Oryctolagus cuniculus: one gene and its partners. The protein of the gene in region 2 interacts with the protein of the main gene of each other region in a biochemical or structural test. Links are inferred from orthologs where the notes say so. Each region holds a gene or a part of one and is shown on either strand. Other genes may lie near its edges.

Region 1 (3,152 bases), on a different chromosome or scaffold from region 2:
TGAAGTCCTGCTTTCAAATACTCTTCAGAGTTGACCTGAAATCATCTCACTAATTTAAGAGGTACATTAAATAACCACCAGATCATCTCAAGCACACCTTCGTCAGCGTCAGCAGTTAGAATTTACGAGTTGTACAACAACTGCATTCTGACCAAACCCTCTAGTAAACAGTGCCATACAATTTACAGTGACATCGATAACATTTGGATTGCAGCCACGGGCGTGCTACGGCTAACAGCGCACAGCCCATGCGGCAAAGCCTCAGCCTGGGGGAAGCGACAGAGAGAGGCTGGCGCGTGAGCAGCACAGGGTGAGGGCCTGTGCCGTCTGCCTCATGACTCAGCGCTGATGTGGGCGCAGGAGGACTGGCTCCTGCAGGCCTCTGGGTCCACCCTCGGAGGCTTCAGCCTTCAAAGGCAGCTGGTCTGGACCCTTCCTCTGCCACCACAGGTGGCCGGCCACAAATTTTGTTCTATGTCAATCAACAGGTACTGGTCCAAAGAGGACTGTTTTCTTGCTACCCCAGAACTGAGCAGTTAAGAAATCCCTATATACACTACTTTGGCTCCTATGTAAATAGCGCTCCTCCTGGGATGTGTTCTGTTACAAAGCATGTCAGAAATCACAGGAGGCCACGGAGTGAGCAAACCCCTGGACAGAAATCAAATCCTCCCCAGGAGTATAATCACTGGCACCTGCCTGAACCCTCTGGGGCCAGATTTGACCTTCCCCGTTTGAAGGGAAGGAGCCAAACATCAGACCCTTTGTAGAGCTTACCAGAAAATTCCATACTTCTGATCCTTGGAGTGACCCTCAGTGTCTAAAAATCCTATTAAAAACATTGCTGCATTAGCTACCAACTTGTTTGATTAACATAAAAGGGAGTTTAATGTAAACAATATTTCTAGATAACCAAGTGATCACATTAGCCATCCTTTTTTTTTTTTCCCCCAGCCTTCTTCAATATGACATGTTTAACTCTGGTTTCTATCACAAACAAAACAAAAAAAAATGTAGTACTTGATATTTTTCTTAATATAAGTACATTTAAATAATTAAAAAAGTATCAACACGTAAGTAAATGTCTGAACATCAAGATACATAAATATCTCGGGATTCCTTGTGGGAATACAGTAGTTAAAAAAAATGACCCAAAGCTGTAGCTGTCTCTCAAAAACGATACAGCTACCCAAAAGTCCGAAAGTTAAATAAAACTTACAGAAAAGGGAATCATATGGTTCTTTCAATTGTCAAAGCAAGAAAGAAGCAAGCTCAAATTTGTATCTCGTGTACATGAACATAAAAACCACCCCAATGCAAATACGCATCTTGCCATTTATAAGGTGCGGAAAAGAAACACAATAAGGATTCGATGCCAACCAGGACGAGTTGCACCCCTCTTCCCCCGCCCCCGGCCCCCAGATTCCACACTCTTTGGAAGAAACGACTTGGCTAAAAAGTGAAGTCAAGGGTATAAAATCTCTCTTTTATTCACAGCATTGCTAAATCAGAAGCATTCACAGTTTCCCTCCGGGATCCTCCTGCGGCTGGGCCCGGGCTCCGGCGCCAGGCCGCTCAGTAGGGCCGCCACACGGCCTCCTCCAGGCGCGCGGCGGGCGCCATGTTGGTGGGCGAGTTGCTGTGGCTGCCCTCGGCCTCCACCACGTCGCTCTGGTTCGGGAGGCTGGGGTTGAGCAGCGCCGAGCCCGTGGAGGCGTTGGTGCAGGGCGGCAGGATGCGCGGCGGCGAGCGCTCGCCGCCCACCATGGAGAACTGGTAGGAGCCGGCCGAGGCGCCGTAGTACAGGTGGTAGGAGGGCGAGCTGGCCTGGAACGGGCCGCCCTGCGCCTGCGACGAGCCGGGGTAGGGCGGCGGCAGGTACGTGTGGTAGCGCGTGGCCGAGCTCATGGCCGACATCCCGATGCCGATGCCCGACGTGACGGGCGTCGGGGAGTAGGTGAAGGCGCCGGGGTAGTGCATGCGAGGGTCTGAGATGGAGGGCAGCGCGGGGAACTGGCGCGGGTCGCTGAACGTCAGGTCGGGGGCCGCTGCAGGGCGGGCGAGAAAACAGCGCGTGAGTCGGGCTGGGGAAGCCATGGCGGGTAACCACCCAGCGTGCCAGGGCCCGGGAAGGTGGGGACTACCCAGCATGCCGTGGCCCAGGAAGAGAGGGCTACCCAGAATGCCGTGGTCCAGGAAGAGGGGCTACCCAGAATGCCACGGTCCAGGAAGGTGGGGACTACCCAGCATGCCAGGGCCAAGGAAAGTGGGAACTACCCAGCGTGCCAGGGCCCAGGAAGAGGGGGACTACCCAGACGGTCCAGGAAGAGGGGCTACCCAGTGTGCCAGGGCCCAGGAAGAGGGGGCTACCCAGAATGCCACGGTCCAGGAAGAGGGGGCTACCCAGTGTGCCAGGGCCAAGGAAAGTGGGAACTACCCAGCATGCCACAGCCTGGGAAGGTGGGGACTACCCAGTGTGCCAGGGCCCAGGAAGGTGGAGACTACCCAGAATGCCACGGTCCAGGAAGAGGGGCTACCCAGCATGCCAAGGCCCTGGAAGGTGAGGACTACCCTGTGTGCCAAGGCCCTTAAGGTAGGCACTACCCAACGTGCCACGGTCTGGGAAGGTGGGGACTACCCAGAATGCCATGGTCCAGGAAGAGGGGCCTACCCAGCATGCCAGGGCCCGGGAAGGTGGGGGACTACCCAGAATGTCACGGCCCAAGAAGTTGGGGACTACCCAGCATGCCACGGGCCAGGAAGGTGGGGACAACCCAGATTGCGACAGTCCAGGAAGGTGGGCACTACCCAGCATGCCACGGCCCAGGAAGGTGGGCACTACCCAGCATGCCATGGTCCAGGAGGATGGGGACTACTCAGGGGTCTACCCAGGGGACTACGGGCCAGGTAGACGGGGAGGGTGGTGGGGTGAAGTACAGTCATGGGTGACAGTCTATTAAGAGAACATCAGGTAATTTAATAAGGCATGTGACATATGACACGATACAGCAGAGCATTACATAAACGCTAGGAATGTAGTATATAACAGAATGGATACGTGTGCAGTGTACATGTACTATAATATGATATGTCTGGAATACTGATCTAATCCATGTCAGCAAACCAGATCCCACCAGCCAAAAATGGCTGCT
Region 2 (2,965 bases):
CAGCGGCTGCGAGCGTCCGGCCGCCCGCCCGCCCGCTCGCTCGCTCGCGGCGGCCACCGTCACTAGACAGTCAAACCCCAAGACGTCAGCCCACAATGCACCGGGCGGGCCGGGAAAGACGGGCCGGGAGGGGACCGGGAAGAGAGGGGCTAGAGGCGCGCGGAGGGGGAGGGGGAGAGGAGGAGAAAGAAGGGCCCAACTGTAGGAGGGCAGCGGAGCATTACCTCATCCCGTGAGCCTCCGCGGGCCCGAAGAAGAATCTTCTAGGGTGGGGTCTCCATGGCGACGGGCGGGCCCGCCCCCCAGAGAGCGACGCGAGCCAATGGGAAGGCCTTGGGGTGACATCATGGGCTATTTTTAGGGGTTGACTGGTAGCAGATAAGTGTTGCGCTCGGGCTGGATAAGGGCTCAGAGTTGCACTGAGTGTGGCTGAAGCGGCGAGGCGGGAGTGGAGGTGCGCGGATTGAGGGAGACAGACACACAGACACAGTCCGCCCGCCCCGCCAGGACGCCCGTAGAGTGCGATCCGCACGGCTGCGTTGCTTTGCCAACTGCCCCGCGCTAGCGCCTGTGGATCCCGGGCTGGTGTTTGGGGGGAGCACCTGGAGAGCTGCTGCTTCTCCAGCCGCCCCCGGGGAGGAGAGCCCCACCGCACGAGCGCAGCTGACAGCCGCGGAGAGCGGCGACTGCAGCGGCCAAGAACTTTCCGAGCCGGGAGGACCGGGGACAAGTGGCCCGGAGTCCCGGAGCGAACTTTTGCAAACCTTTCCTGCGCTATTTGGGCTTGCCGCGGCGGCAGCAAAGAAAAGCAAGGCGGCGGAGAGAGGAGCGAAGAGGAGCGACGCGCGCGCGGCTCCGCTCGCCCCGGCCTCTGAACTTGACCGGCGCGAGCCGCTGCCGCCGGGAGCCCCCTGCCCCTCGCAGCGGAAGAGGGCACAGTCTCCGGGAGTCCGGGCGGCCGAGACCCGCCGCCACTGCGGGGCACCGCGCCGCGCCGCCGGGGAGCCTCCGAAGGGCGCGCAGTGAGTGACCGCGACTTTTCAAAGGCGGGCAGGCGCGCGCGAGCGGCCGAGGAGTGCGGGCGAGCGTCTGAACCCCGCCGCTCCCGGGAGCGGGGGCCGGTGAGCGGGGCGCCCAGGGGGAAGACAGCCCGCGGGTGCGCGCGCGCTCCGAAACTTTTCCTTTGCCAGAGGCCCGGGGAGGCGCGGGGTGCTCCCCGCCCGCCAGCGCGCTGTCGCGGCCCCGAAACTTGTGCGCGCAGCCCAAAGTAAGCCCACGTGAAGTGACGGACTGTTCTATGAGTGCAAAGATGGAAACGACCTTCTACGACGATGCCCTCAACGCCTCGTTCCTGCAGACCGAGAGCGGCGCCTACGGCTACAGTAACCCCAAGATCCTGAAACAGAGCATGACCCTGAACCTGGCCGACCCGGTGGGCAGCCTGAAGCCGCACCTCCGCGCCAAGAACTCGGACCTCCTCACCTCTCCCGACGTGGGGCTGCTCAAGCTGGCGTCGCCCGAGCTGGAGCGCCTCATCATCCAGTCCAGCAACGGGCACATCACCACCACGCCGACCCCCACCCAGTTCCTGTGCCCCAAGAACGTGACCGACGAGCAGGAGGGCTTCGCCGAGGGCTTCGTGCGCGCCCTGGCCGAGCTGCACAGCCAGAACACGCTGCCCAGCGTCACGTCCGCGGCGCAGCCGGTCAGCGGGGCGGGCATGGTGGCTCCGGCCGTGGCCTCGGTGGCGGGCGGCGGCGGCGGCAGCGGCGGCTTCAGCGCCGGCCTGCACAGCGAGCCGCCTGTCTACGCCAACCTCAGCAACTTCAACCCGAGCGCGCTGAGCAGCGGCGGCGGGGCGCCCTCCTACGGCGCGGCCGGCCTGGCCTTTCCCGCGCAGCCCCAGCAGCAACAGCCGCCGCCGCCGCCGCAGCCGCCGCACCACCTGCCCCAGCAGATCCCCGTGCAGCACCCGCGGCTGCAGGCGCTCAAGGAGGAGCCGCAGACCGTGCCCGAGATGCCCGGCGAGACGCCGCCCCTGTCCCCCATTGACATGGAGTCCCAGGAGCGGATCAAGGCGGAGAGGAAGCGCATGAGGAACCGCATCGCCGCCTCCAAGTGCCGGAAAAGGAAGCTGGAGAGGATCGCTCGGCTGGAGGAAAAAGTGAAAACCTTGAAAGCGCAGAACTCGGAGCTGGCGTCCACGGCCAACATGCTCAGGGAACAGGTGGCACAGCTGAAACAGAAAGTCATGAACCACGTTAACAGCGGGTGCCAACTCATGCTAACGCAGCAGTTGCAAACGTTCTGAGGACAGACTGTCGAGGGCTGAGGGGCGACGAAGAAAAAGAAAACAAAACCAACAGAGAGACAGTCTTGCGAACTTGACCGGTTGCGACAGCGAGAAAAAAATAAAAAAGACGCGTCCGAGGACTAAGGCCAAGGGTATCCAAGCCGGGCTGGGTTGCGTCCTGACGGCGCCCCCAGTGTGCACGAGTGGGAAGGACTTGGCGCGCGCTCCCCTTGGCGCGGAGCCAGGGAGCGGCCGCCTGCGGGCGGCCCCGCTCGGCGGAAGGGCTGTCCCCGCGCCATCACGACGGTAGACTTTTCTTTAACATTGACCAAGAACTGCATGGACCTAACATTCGATCTCATTCAGTATTAAAGGGGGGGAGGGGCGGGGTGACAAACTGCCATAGAGACTGTAGATCGCTTCTGTAGTACTCCTTAAGAACCCGACCGGGAGGGCTGGGGAGGGGCGGCGGGGGGCGGGGAGGGAGCCGGGGAGGGCCAGGCTGAGCCTGCAGATACACTCTTTCTGGCCTGCCTTCGTTAACCGTGTATGTACAGATATCTATTTTTTAATTTGATGAAAGCTGATTACTGTCAATAAACAGCTTCATGCCTTTGTAAGTTATTTCATGTTTGTTCGTTTGGGTGTCCTGCCCAGTGTTGTTTGTAAATA
Region 3 (3,749 bases), on a different chromosome or scaffold from region 2:
CTAGTGAGTGAGGGAGTAGGAAGTGGAACTCAGGTCTGTTAGTCTCCAAACCACCGTTGGCAAACCTCTACCCCACAGGGCGTGTGCCTGGAAGAGCTGTGGTGTCAGTGCTGCCGGGGCAGACTGGGAAAGCTAGGGGCATAGCTGTGTGGAGCTTGCTGGACGCCAGCCCTCACGCGGCCAGGCCGAGCAGGTCCTCGGGAGAGTGGCTGCAGGCCGCGCTTACACTCGCACCTGACGGCAAACACGTGACGCCACCAACACGCCAAGCGATCTGAAGTGCCCTGGCAACGTGCTCATTTGAACAATGTGTGGCTGACATTGCTTCAGAGGTTACAGTGAATCAGAAAGCAAAGTTATGATGTGTCCTGAAAACTCTTAGCTTCACACGAGATCTGAGCCAAACTTAGTCAACTCCTTCAAGGGGGAATCGTGAAACAGGGAGACCGAAAAACGGAGCTACTGCACAAAAACTCTGCAGCCAGTTACAGAAATCATGGAAAAGAAGAGCAGTATTTGCTTTCCAGAGCCCAGTGAGAAGATATCAAGGGAAACACACACACACACACACACACACACACACAAACCTTCTTTCTAAAGAGTCTAAAAACCAAGAGGTTAGTGGGGTTGCAAACACAGAAAGCTACTCAATTATTCATGGAAAGCAAATAACACAAACTAATGGATATTTTAAGTTATCTTATCTGGCCTTGCATTCCAAATAAGACAGGCACATATCATCTCCCCAACTTCCAGTAGGAAAGAAGTCCCAGCATATGCAAAAATATAAAGATATAAAAGGAGAAGAATAAATAGTTTACATTATAATAGAATAGAGACAGGTGTAACAAGGTAATCTTGTAGAGAGGCCAAGAAGTCTTGCTAAAGACACGCAGACCGTCAAGGATCCTGGCTTTGTCTCTTACTGTCAGATGGCCTGGAGTAAATGACCGAACTTCTCTGAGTTTTCCGTTCCCGACTGTGATTCATTCATTCTTTCGGAGCACCTGCAGGTGTGCTAGGCACTGCCTATGCGGTGGGGACACAATTCCTGAACAGATGTTGGTGCTCCCCGCTGCCTTCGGCCAACAGCCTGGCGCTGGGGGCTGGCACCGGACACAGCGAGATTCTATCCTGAAGCTCCCGTGGGCACGCAGCCTGCTCTCCTGAAGCTACCTGCCCTAACCGAGGCTGCTGTTTTTAATTGAATCTTCACAGTGCTTTTCACTAAATCATGCCTCTGGGAGCTGACACGCTAAACTGGATTTATTACCTATCAGGGATGCGTGTCACACCTGCCCGCCCGGCAGAACTACTTAAGGCAGAAAGAGGGGAGTACAATTTTGAGATGTTCCTATATGATGAAGCACGTCTCACTCAGTTTTCACAAAAAATCCTGGGAGGTCGACGTTATTCTACTCATTTCACAAATGGGGAAACCGAGGCACGGAGAGATTAAGCGAATTGCCGAGGCTGCTCAGCCTGGGTGGCGATGCCGAGGCCCAAAGGCGCCGGACACACACCGGGGAGAGAGCGCGAGAACCAGCCCCAACCGCCGCCAAGCGGAGCTGGGCGCTAAGGCTCCGAGGGGCCGTCCCCGCCGGCAGCCTAGTCCCAGTTTTCTGCGTGCACAGCTCTAAGTGCTGCTGGGGACGGCGCGGAGGACCGACTGGGAGCCGGCAGGGGGGGTAGGGGGACGAGGGGGTTCTACCAGAGCTGGGGGTGGAGTCTCCCCGCCGCGGCCCCCGCCCCACACCCCCAGGCTGACCCGTACCGCGTTCCCCATTCCAGCAGCCGCCAGAGGAGGGTGGGTGTTGGGAGTGGCTGGGGACGAGCCGCCCCTTTGGGTTGAAGGGCCCCTCCGGAAACGCCGGCTGCGGGGTGGTGGCCTTCGGCGGCGCCCGGACCGACGGCCCTGGGGCAGCGTGGACCCCACGTGCCAGGATGCGCGGGCAGTGCCCTGCCACAGTGGACGTCCGCTCCCTGCGGCCTTTCCACTCTCGGAGGACTCGGAGCCCTCCCAGGCGCGGCCGAAGCGCACGCCGGGACCCCCGGGCCATCGCCCCCACGCCCCTAGTCCCACTCGTCTCTGGCGCCGGCAGCGCCCTCCACCCGCGAGCCCCCGCGGCCCTCCCAGAGTCTCTCGCCCACTACCTGCGGCTGCTGCTGATGCCCCGGCGCCGCGACGCTCCTCTGCAGGACGCCGCCAGCGGCCGGGAGCCCCTGCGACATGCCGGGCGCTGGTGCAGCCGGCCCGCCCCGCGCGCAGCCCGGTGGAGGCGCGGCCCGGCCCGCGGCGCCCTGCACGCGGGGCCCGGGCTACGAGCGCCCTCCGACCGCCCGCATCGCCTCGCCCGCACCTGGCCGTCGGCTTGCGCCCCGCCCCCGCGGGCTTCCCGCTCTCCCGGCTCGCCGGCGCCGCGCGTCCGCCCGGGCTCCCCACCCCCGGGTCGCGGCCCGCGGTCCTTCCCGTCCCCAAGTGCGCCCCGCCTCCTTCTCCCACCTCCGCCCCGTTTCCTCCTCTCCCCGCCCTCTGCTGCGCCTCGGGGTCCCCAATCCCACCTCAGGCGCGGCTTTTCGCTGGGGCCCCGAAGTCACGTGGCGGCTCGGAAACCGAGGAGGGAACGCGACGCCCACCCGCGGGAGGCGACGCTGGGGTGGGTGGGGGTCGGGAGGCACAGCCTTGGGGGCACTCGGGGTGAGAAACGCAGCTGGGTGGTCGGGGGTGGTGGTTTTGTCTGCGCATTGCCTACGCCTCCCTGCCGCCCCCCAGCCCCGGCGGGAGTCGGGCTTTGGGGGCTCTCTCCGGGCACTCGGCCTTTGGGTCGCCACCGTCACTCGGTCCTCAGCCCAGGAGGCGCAGGCGCGGGGAGGGGCGGCAGCCTCACGCGTCGCGCCGCGCGCCCAGAGCGCGGGCGTTCCCGGGCCTTTCTGCGGGGAGCACCTGCCCTTTCTGTTCCCGGTCCTGCCGGGCTGCGGGAAGGAGCGAGGCGGGGCGGCCCCGAGCGTGGATTCCGTGAGCCGGAGCGTGGGCAGGGGCCACTGTCCTGGACGGGAACAGTGACGGCCGTCCCAGGGAGCGAATCCCACACGTTGGACAACGTCTCTGGCGACCGGATCAGGACTGTGGCCCCATCATCCTGAAGTCAGATGGACCAGAACCGTTTCCTTGTTCAAGATTGGAGCGGCAGGTGCCCTGCCTGTAGGTTTAAGATGTGTGGTTGCTGCCACACGCCCATGCCGCAGCGGGGACAGGGCAAAGGCAGGGCGTATTGCACCCCCCACCCCCAACCTGTCTGCCACTTAATAAGTGTTGAACGTGGTTCCAGCAAATAAAGAACGAGCGGTTACCGGCTTGAGGTCTGCGAGGAGTCAGCGCTGGGAAGGGAAGCGAGCCGCGACTCCGAGTGGGCGGGTGGGCAGGTCACAAATGCCTTCCCAGTGTAGTCGCTGAGGCCTTCAGGTTTGTGGGCAGCGGGGGGGATGGGGCACGAGAAATTCTGATTCCCAGGCCAGGGCACGTGACTGTCGGCCAGGATTTAAGACTCGTCTTCAAAGCCTTCAGAGCAGCAGGAAAGCCAGTGGGAAGTCCGGGAGAGCAGGGGAGCTGGGCGGTAGGGAAGAGGCGAGAGGGCGCAGGGCAGACGGGGACTGGGGGCGGGGGGGGGAATACTCTTTCAGATCCCTGTGTCGCACCCCGCGCAGGCCAGCACCTCGAACAGGTGCACACGATGTACCCAGCACAGCGC

The links.
Region 1: the proteins of JUN (region 2) and RUNX1 form a complex in vitro, tested with the Homo sapiens proteins (2 studies listed by BioGRID). The link is inferred for Oryctolagus cuniculus from reciprocal best matches to the Homo sapiens genes JUN and RUNX1.
Region 3: the proteins of JUN (region 2) and BATF3 form a complex in vitro, tested with the Homo sapiens proteins (2 studies listed by BioGRID and IntAct, with this or other methods). The link is inferred for Oryctolagus cuniculus from reciprocal best matches to the Homo sapiens genes JUN and BATF3.

What each region holds. Positions count from the first base shown.
Region 1 is NC_091435.1:10,276,985-10,280,136, reverse strand, and holds part of RUNX1 (runt-related transcription factor 1), read right to left. Parts: intron 2,561-3,152; exon of another isoform or gene 2,049-2,560; coding exon 1,576-2,048; 3' UTR 1-1,575.
Region 2 is NC_091438.1:114,258,709-114,261,673, forward strand, and holds JUN (transcription factor Jun), read left to right. Parts: upstream 1-1,297; coding exon 1,298-2,311; 3' UTR 2,312-2,412; downstream 2,413-2,965. UniProt on the Homo sapiens protein: Transcription factor that recognizes and binds to the AP-1 consensus motif 5'-TGA[GC]TCA-3'.
Region 3 is NC_091444.1:27,153,697-27,157,445, forward strand, and holds the start of BATF3 (basic leucine zipper transcriptional factor ATF-like 3), read right to left. Parts: upstream 2,458-3,749; 5' UTR 2,233-2,457; coding exon 2,155-2,232; intron 1-2,154. UniProt on the Homo sapiens protein: AP-1 family transcription factor that controls the differentiation of CD8(+) thymic conventional dendritic cells in the immune system.